Linked DNA regions of Bombyx mori. The protein of the gene in region 2 interacts with the protein of the main gene of each other region in a biochemical or structural test. Links are inferred from orthologs where the notes say so. Each region holds a gene or a part of one and is shown on either strand. Other genes may lie near its edges.

Region 1 (3,835 bases), on a different chromosome or scaffold from region 2:
TCTTACGTTACGGACGTTTTTTCCCGGTTAGGGTACTCCTCCGCATCGTCCCATAAGGAACTTCGTTCCAAAAAACTTATTGTCTCAGGTCTTCGTTTAGTGTGGTCACACTGCACGTGACGTCACAAGACGAGCGCATTTACCGATATCACGTTTGTCATTGTTGTGCGTGCATTGTTTATTAAAAGACTCCTCATTGTACTTGTCGGATTTAAGTACGTCTATATTTATTTGTAAATACACCGTTCGTAATATTTGTATCATGTCATACATTGTCTCACAATACAGGTGATATGTTATAACACAATTTAAAGTAAAAATATTATACTATAATTGAATCAAATGGTCGAGGCTTCGGTAGGCAGCGGTTTGGCTCTACCGTCCGTGAGCGACGGTAACCACTCACCACCAGGCGGGCCGTATGCTCGTCCGCCGCCTACAAGGGCAAATAAAAATAAAAGTGAATTATTAAATAACAAATTTGATATAGGAGAGATGGACTCTACCCCGCTTTGAACTTGGCGTTGCTAGTTTTACAATGAATACGTACCTTCCGAAGTTGTTTACGGAGAAGTAGTAGAAGAGAGAAAAGTATTTATTTCCGACCGAGGAATTGTTTGAGATGATGTCGTCATCTCTTTTATAATTGCATCATCTGACACCGAAATAAGAGTTCATACCGTCCACTTGGAATTGCTGCGTTCATCGACAGTGCGTTTTGCGATGTAGCAACGGGTTTTTTTTGTGAAGGAAGGTATACTGGTGGCCTGGAGGCTTTTCCGTTTTTGTTTAATATTTATTTTATTGCTTAGATGGGTGGACGAGCTCACAGCCTACCTGGTGTTAAGTGGTTACTGGAGCCCATAGACATCTACAACGGCTGCCCTACCCTTCAGACCGAAACGCATTACTGCTTCACGGCAGAAACAGGCAGGGCGGTGGTACCTACCCGCGCGGACTCATAAGAGGTCCTACAACCAGTAAAAAACTTTCTAACACTCCGCCCGAGCGCCTCCGGAGGAGACCTAACAACTCAAGAGCAGCTTTACAAATGAAACCATGTAGTTCTGGAATGAACGCTCGGCTCTTATAACTGAGCGCTATGATATGTCTTTCTCTAAACCAAGCTCGAAAATAGTCTTCAGTCGTAGGTAGCGACTTGGCTGTATAATGCTAATGTCCATCAGAGACGATAAAATGATAAGAGAAGATAGCTCGCCTGTATATGAAGGCCATAAAACACACACACAATACAAATAAATAAGGTTTTCTTATATTTTATTTATCTTTGACTTTGACAGATCTGACGAACTTTGTTCCGTCTTAGAGGCAATAAATGAGCAGACTTGATTTTATCAGGTCAATTTTTTATTTGGATAATTAGTGTAAATTAAAAAAGCAAGTATTTTAATGATTCTTTATTGTTAATGTATTTTAGTTATTATTGTTATATTTTTATTTCTTGTTTCTTCTTTAGTCGCTTCACTCGCAATGTTTCGAATACTAGTTGCATTACGGCTTCGTCGGGAAAGATTTGATCGTGTTGGTCGCGGTATGGCTTTCTTAATGATTACTTGTCTCAGCACAATAAGCTAATAGAAACTGGAAACGAACACATCGACCGGTCAACTTCAAAATTCTACTATAATTAACCATAGACTACATTACGTTTAGCTGTCAGTTGCGTTTTGTTATTCCATATCAGTTGCGTTTTGTTATACCACGTTTTACGTCACGTACCACGGAAACGTGATAAAAGGTATCCTTGTCCTGGTTGTAAGCTACCTCCCCACCAATTTTCAGCCAAATCAGTTCAGCCGTTCTTTAGTTATAAATAGTGTAACTAACACGACTTTCTTTTATATATATAGATTTTGAGTAATCTTCGGAATAGCGACTAGAAATAACATTTTAGTGTTTTAGAAGCTTGAAAAAGTAAAAATTCAGAGATGTGAAGGAAATAGTTTCCACTTAGTACCCGTGATTGTTCTCGTGTGTTGTTGGTTGTTTGCTTTCGTAAGCCAGGATGTAAATAACGTATAAAAAACCATTCGTATTTTTCAGAAAGGAGGCAACGTGCCTTAACGGCGGCACGGGCCAGTAGCGTGGTGGAGCCGAGACAAAATGGCGTCCTACCCCCGCTCCCGGCACCGGAACCGGAACCTGCACCCGTACTCCCACCGAAAACGAATTTAGCAGGTGAAAACTACTTATAATATTATATTCCTATATTCATGATCATCTGATGTAAAGTAATGCCGACTTTTTAGCGAGGCGGGGGGAGGCGATCTTCACGCATTTCGCGTCCAAGGGGCGCGCGGGGTATGTGGGTCTTGACGGTACGCAGATTTCGGGAACAGATCGCGAGCCTACGATGTTTTTAAAGTCCTACCCACCAAACTACTCCCTTTGCACCCTCTCACGGCATGTCCGATCTTTACTCGAGCTCAGAACCCGGGCAGAGTGGTTCCCGTGGTCAACACTACAACTAGACTCGCTGCGCCACTACTAGGACGCCCGACGGACGACGGCCCGTCCCGTCGCCCGGGCGCCCGGGCGGTACCTCTGGTGCTCCGGGATACCGCACTGAAGATCCCAAGACTAAGACCCCAAGAAAAGGGCGACCTAAGTAAAGGGATTTTTTCGCTGCTATGTTGTGTGTTGTGTTAGATCAATGGCATTCTATGACATTCTAAGAAAGAAAGAAAGAAATCATTTATTCGCTAAGCATAGTGGTGGTTTTATACTTGTGATAGGACCTCTTGTGAGTCCGCACGGGTAGTTACCAACACCCTGCCTATTTCTGCCGTGAAGCAGTAATGCGTGTCGGTGTAAGGGGGGGGCAGCCGTTGTAACTATAACTGAGACCTTAGAACTTATATCTCAAGGTGGGTGGCGCATTTACGATGTAGATGTCTATGGGCTCCGGTAACCACTCAACGCCAGGTGGGCTGGGTCCACCATCTAAGCAATAAAAAAATAATGAGTTATTACATAAGTTAAAAGCAGCGTGTATGCTTTGTCATTATTTGACATGCGAATTTTAGTGCAACATCTACAATATGTATCAGAGAGTATGTGTAATAACTTGTAATGATCGCCCAGGTACGTACACACTGAAGAGCTCCGGAAAACGGAAAACGACAAGGAAATTGACTAAAGCCGACATCGGGATGCCTCACAACTTCACGCACGTTTCTCACATCGGATGGGATAAAGATAAAGGTGCGTGGATCTTTTCTTTTTCTCCTTTTTTTTTTAGGTATGGCAATTGGCTTCTTGCGACGCCATTGTTGCCAGTGTCGAGTTCATAAAAATCTTCAATTGTAAAATACATACTAATATTCTGTTATATGAAGTAAAATAGGATGAAGTTAATTGATTTGACTATTTAATCGATTGGGATAAAATTAAATGAAACAAAATTTTATTGTGTGCTTAGTGCGAGTTTTTTAACGCTCTCGATAGCATAAAAGTTAACTTTTTGTATGCAGTTATAACAGCGCCCCTAGCGGCAAACGTAGGCAAACGTTCTGTTATGGGAATTTACTCTGAGGTCGTTTTAAAAAAAGGAAACTTTTAAGATTCGAACTATTTTATTTTATTTATACAATATGGATGATATACGTAATTCTCAGAGTAACCGCGAGAGCCGCACCCGTACTCTAAGACAGTTCACTCTCTACTGACTGTTCTCCGGTCTCCTTTAAAGTCTCTACCTCGAACCGTCTAGTCAGCGGTTTGAGGGTATCAGCATTTTAGGGTTCAGTACTCTGTACATATAATATAACAGTTCCAACTGCATACTAATTGGAGTTAACTATCAGGCCATCGA
Region 2 (3,835 bases):
TGAAAAAACTAATATATATACAAAATACATTGAAAAATTACTGACGTCATATTATATGAAATTATCATAATCAATTCGCTTCTGCCTAGGATACTAGTCGAGGATAGATAGAAGTTCGAACAGGCCGCTCTCGTACCTGTGTTCCGTAACATCCTCTGCGTATTGTATACAAAAAGAATACTAACGGTCACGTCGGGTGTGTGTGGAACCTCAATCTCAAGCACGTAGTTGGCCGGGAACCAGTGATGACGTTTGCCGCCGTAGTCGCCCCGCCACCAGCCCTCGTCCGGCTTGTCGACGTTTGTAATGATGGCGTGCTTGCAGAAGGACAACTCGTCATCTTGACGAGCCCGATAATCGTAAAGCGCTTTAACGGTCACCTGAAATCGTTTTCATATTATTCTGTAACGCAAACAAATCTGAATTTGTTGCAAAATGTATTTCGTCATATCATAATACATAATATTATACTGGGTGTTAGGAGATCGCTTCCGAAAACGAAAACAGGCGATAGTACTAACTAATGACACCTTTGATGACGGGACGGAAAAAAAAATCGATCCTGATTAAAGAAATCATATTTTTAAAACGTTTTATTAGCATTGTTTACGCTCCATCATGTTAGTACAGCTAAATGAAACGATTGTTTCATAAAAAAAATACATCACTTTTCTTTGAAAAAAACCAGCAATGAAACACAAAATCAAAAACAGCTGATGCTCGGATCAACGAACGTCCGGGCGCGGCGAGAGCGCGGCACTTATACCGGGCTCCATAAAATTTACAACTTTGTAGGTACATAATTTTCGTTTTCCAAAGCGGTCTCCTAAAACCCAGTTTAAATCTACAGGTAAAATGCTAGAAAATTATAAATTAATGTTTGTATGTTCGTCTTCTATGTATTCGCGTATCGTTCGTCGGGACGGTAGACAGCAAGAGCTATCAATGTAAATGAATGTTTCATATTTATTTTTACATCGAAGAGTGCTGTCTTACATTTAACCTATCAATTTGCAGAAACATTAAATTTATAACTTTAAAATGGAATTTTAACACGAGTTGTAGAGTTCCGTTAATTTTGCTTTGATCGTAGTACGATACCCTGAAATGCCCACTACTGGAAGTACATACTTTTACGTGGGGTAGGGAGTATTTTAAAGCCGCACAGATATATATCACCTGTCAATTCCGGTTCCGAACCTGACCTGCTTTCCGGTCGAAAGGATCGCATCTACATATGGGTCATTATACAATAAAATGGAGATCTCTTCAGTGTCTTATGGTGAGCAGCGACTTTGACGTTGTCATTTCTATGAGTTTTGATAGCCACTTAAAACCAAGTGAGGCCAGAGCTCAATTTTTAAATATTTTTAATACAAAAATTAAACACGATCGAATAAATGTTAAAATTACCAAAACAATCATGTTGATCGTTACATTTTCCACAACTATTTATTACAAAGCGAGCGAGTTATGTTTTAAAATCAAGAATAGAGAATAAATGCACTACAAAAAAAAATTAACGATTGACATATTATAATCGATTAACTATCTACCCAGCTTCTTAGGAAAAGCTATATATACCACATTACATATCGCTGCACAGGTTAGGGAGAAGTTTTTATGTAAAAGAAGTTATTATAGTATGCCGTTAAAATAACAGAATAACTACTTCATGCTAGATAATTTTTAATTTTACGTATAAGTACTAACCTAATAACAATTACATAGCAATAATCATTTAACGAAAAGTATACTAATTCTTAAGACGCTTACGCTAATAAAGCATATAAAATACAAAATAAACATCGATAAAATGTTGGATTTTGAATTTAAAAAAAGAACTACTATAATATTCTATTTGTCACGAAGAAAGTGTTATCTGTGCCTAATGCGTTTTTTACAGTCTCACCTATATATGTATATATAATCCGATATATATTTTTCATTTACAGTTCTGCAAATAATTTTGGTGTTAGTTAATTGATTAATATAATATATATTATTTTTAATTACAGGTTTTTATTAGTACCATCCTTGTTTAGCTATCCGTATCGCCTGCCAGGCGTTTAGTGCAGGACATAAATCTCTCCTCCCATAGCTTTATATAGCGAGTTTTTTTTCTAATACTAATACTACTAGTAATTATTAGTACTAATTACTAAGCTACATATGAAATGAAAAATAGCCTTTTCTTTATTTTAAAATTATTTTATAGTGTATCAAATTAGAGGATCAATCTCAAAACCAAACCAAGCACAAGCCCTTGACGTTGAAACGAAGACAACTATTGGGCATACTTCCGTGTTGTCTCAAAAACATCGATACCGATTTCAGCATATTTTATGTTAAATTACGTACAACGAAAAAAGCATTTAATGACGTTTTTGTTAGCTTGACATGTATCTAACTATAGAAGACGGATTAACTTGAATAATTTACACACAATAATGTTATTATTTTTTTGGCGTTAAATCGTGACCTTGATGCCCAAAATAAAGTTTTTTTTTTTTTTTCAATTTTCCATTTAGGTCGAGTTTTATTATAATAAGTTTTTAGCTATGAAATGCCATTTTATAAAACCGTCCATTTGAAAGATTATGTATGCCTGGCAATAAATTCTAATTATATTTATAAAATATAGAATTATATTTTCAAAGTCTGTCTGCTTCGTAATCTGAGGTTCGGTCCAGGGCTCAAAAAAAAATGACTTTTCGTTGCCTAACAAACACAGAAACGAAGGGATTTTGAAACGCTTCGAAACTTGCAACGAAAAATCCATTATGATAGTCGTAGCTGTCATTACGCTAGTTATACCTTGGTCCAACACTAAGGCAATAAATACTTTTTGGTGGTCTAGTGCCGGAATAATTAATCTTGTTCTCGTCTTCGTCTTTCCAATACACCCTGTACGTACGTATTTTTATAATAGACACAAATGTGCATTTTATTTGTTACACATTTTTTTTTCATTTCCATAGCAACAGGATTACACAGTTAAAGGTATTTTAATTTAAAAAAAAACGAAAGTGAATCCGTGTTGGATGACGATGCAAACATTTTGAAGTCGTGTATAATACTAGTATTTACAAGCGGTTTCATTCACATTAATGTAGTAAGATCTATCCTTACTACTAGTATAGCACTATTACTAGTATAATATATTTTTTACTGGATGAAAGGTCCTCTGTCTTTTTCTGTACATGGAATGTAATGAAACTTTGCATACTTTTGCATTCACGATGATAGATTGAGTAGTGACAAAGTGTACAACAAACAAACTCTCTTTCGCATTTATAATATTATTATTATGGATTTATGATCTTACGTATGAATACGATATGTTTTAATATATGCAATACGTACCTTGGACGTGAATGACGTGGGATCCATGTATCCCGGTGTCCCATAGACAGTATTATCGTCTGGTTCCTTAAAATTAACATACATAATATGACATCTTCGCAAATAACGTAAGCTATTGATTTTGATTGGAATATAAATAAATACAGGCCTCAAGCTACAAAAATCGTTTCATTTCACGCACATGGTATAATTTAACATTGTTCACGGTGAACTTTCACGGTGAATGAATATAGTAAAAATCAAACCAGAAAAATAATAATTCGCCCAATTAATAGTGGTAGGAAGTCTCGTGAGTCCGCACGGGTGGGTACCACCACCGCCCTGCCTATTTCTACCGTGATGCAGTAATGCGTTTCGGTTTCAAAACTGAGGCAGCCGTTGCACTGTACAAACTGAGACCGAACAGAAACTGAACTCATGTCTCAAGATGGCATTAGCCACTTATCACCACGTGGGCTGTAAGCTCGTC

Evidence for each region.
Region 1: the proteins of PLCg (region 2) and actin nucleation-promoting factor WASL form a complex in vitro, tested with the Homo sapiens proteins (2 studies listed by BioGRID). The link is inferred for Bombyx mori from reciprocal best matches to the Homo sapiens genes PLCG1 and WAS.

What each region holds. Positions count from the first base shown.
Region 1 is NC_085121.1:15,502,606-15,506,440, forward strand, and holds part of actin nucleation-promoting factor WASL, read left to right. Parts: intron 1-2,064; coding exon 2,065-2,199; intron 2,200-3,105; coding exon 3,106-3,225; intron 3,226-3,835. UniProt on the Homo sapiens protein: Effector protein for Rho-type GTPases that regulates actin filament reorganization via its interaction with the Arp2/3 complex. Important for efficient actin polymerization. Possible regulator of lymphocyte and platelet function.
Region 2 is NC_085107.1:5,693,931-5,697,765, forward strand, and holds part of PLCg (phospholipase C gamma), read right to left. Parts: intron 3,433-3,835; coding exon 3,367-3,432; intron 381-3,366; coding exon 186-380; intron 1-185. UniProt on the Homo sapiens protein: Mediates the production of the second messenger molecules diacylglycerol (DAG) and inositol 1,4,5-trisphosphate (IP3). Plays an important role in the regulation of intracellular signaling cascades.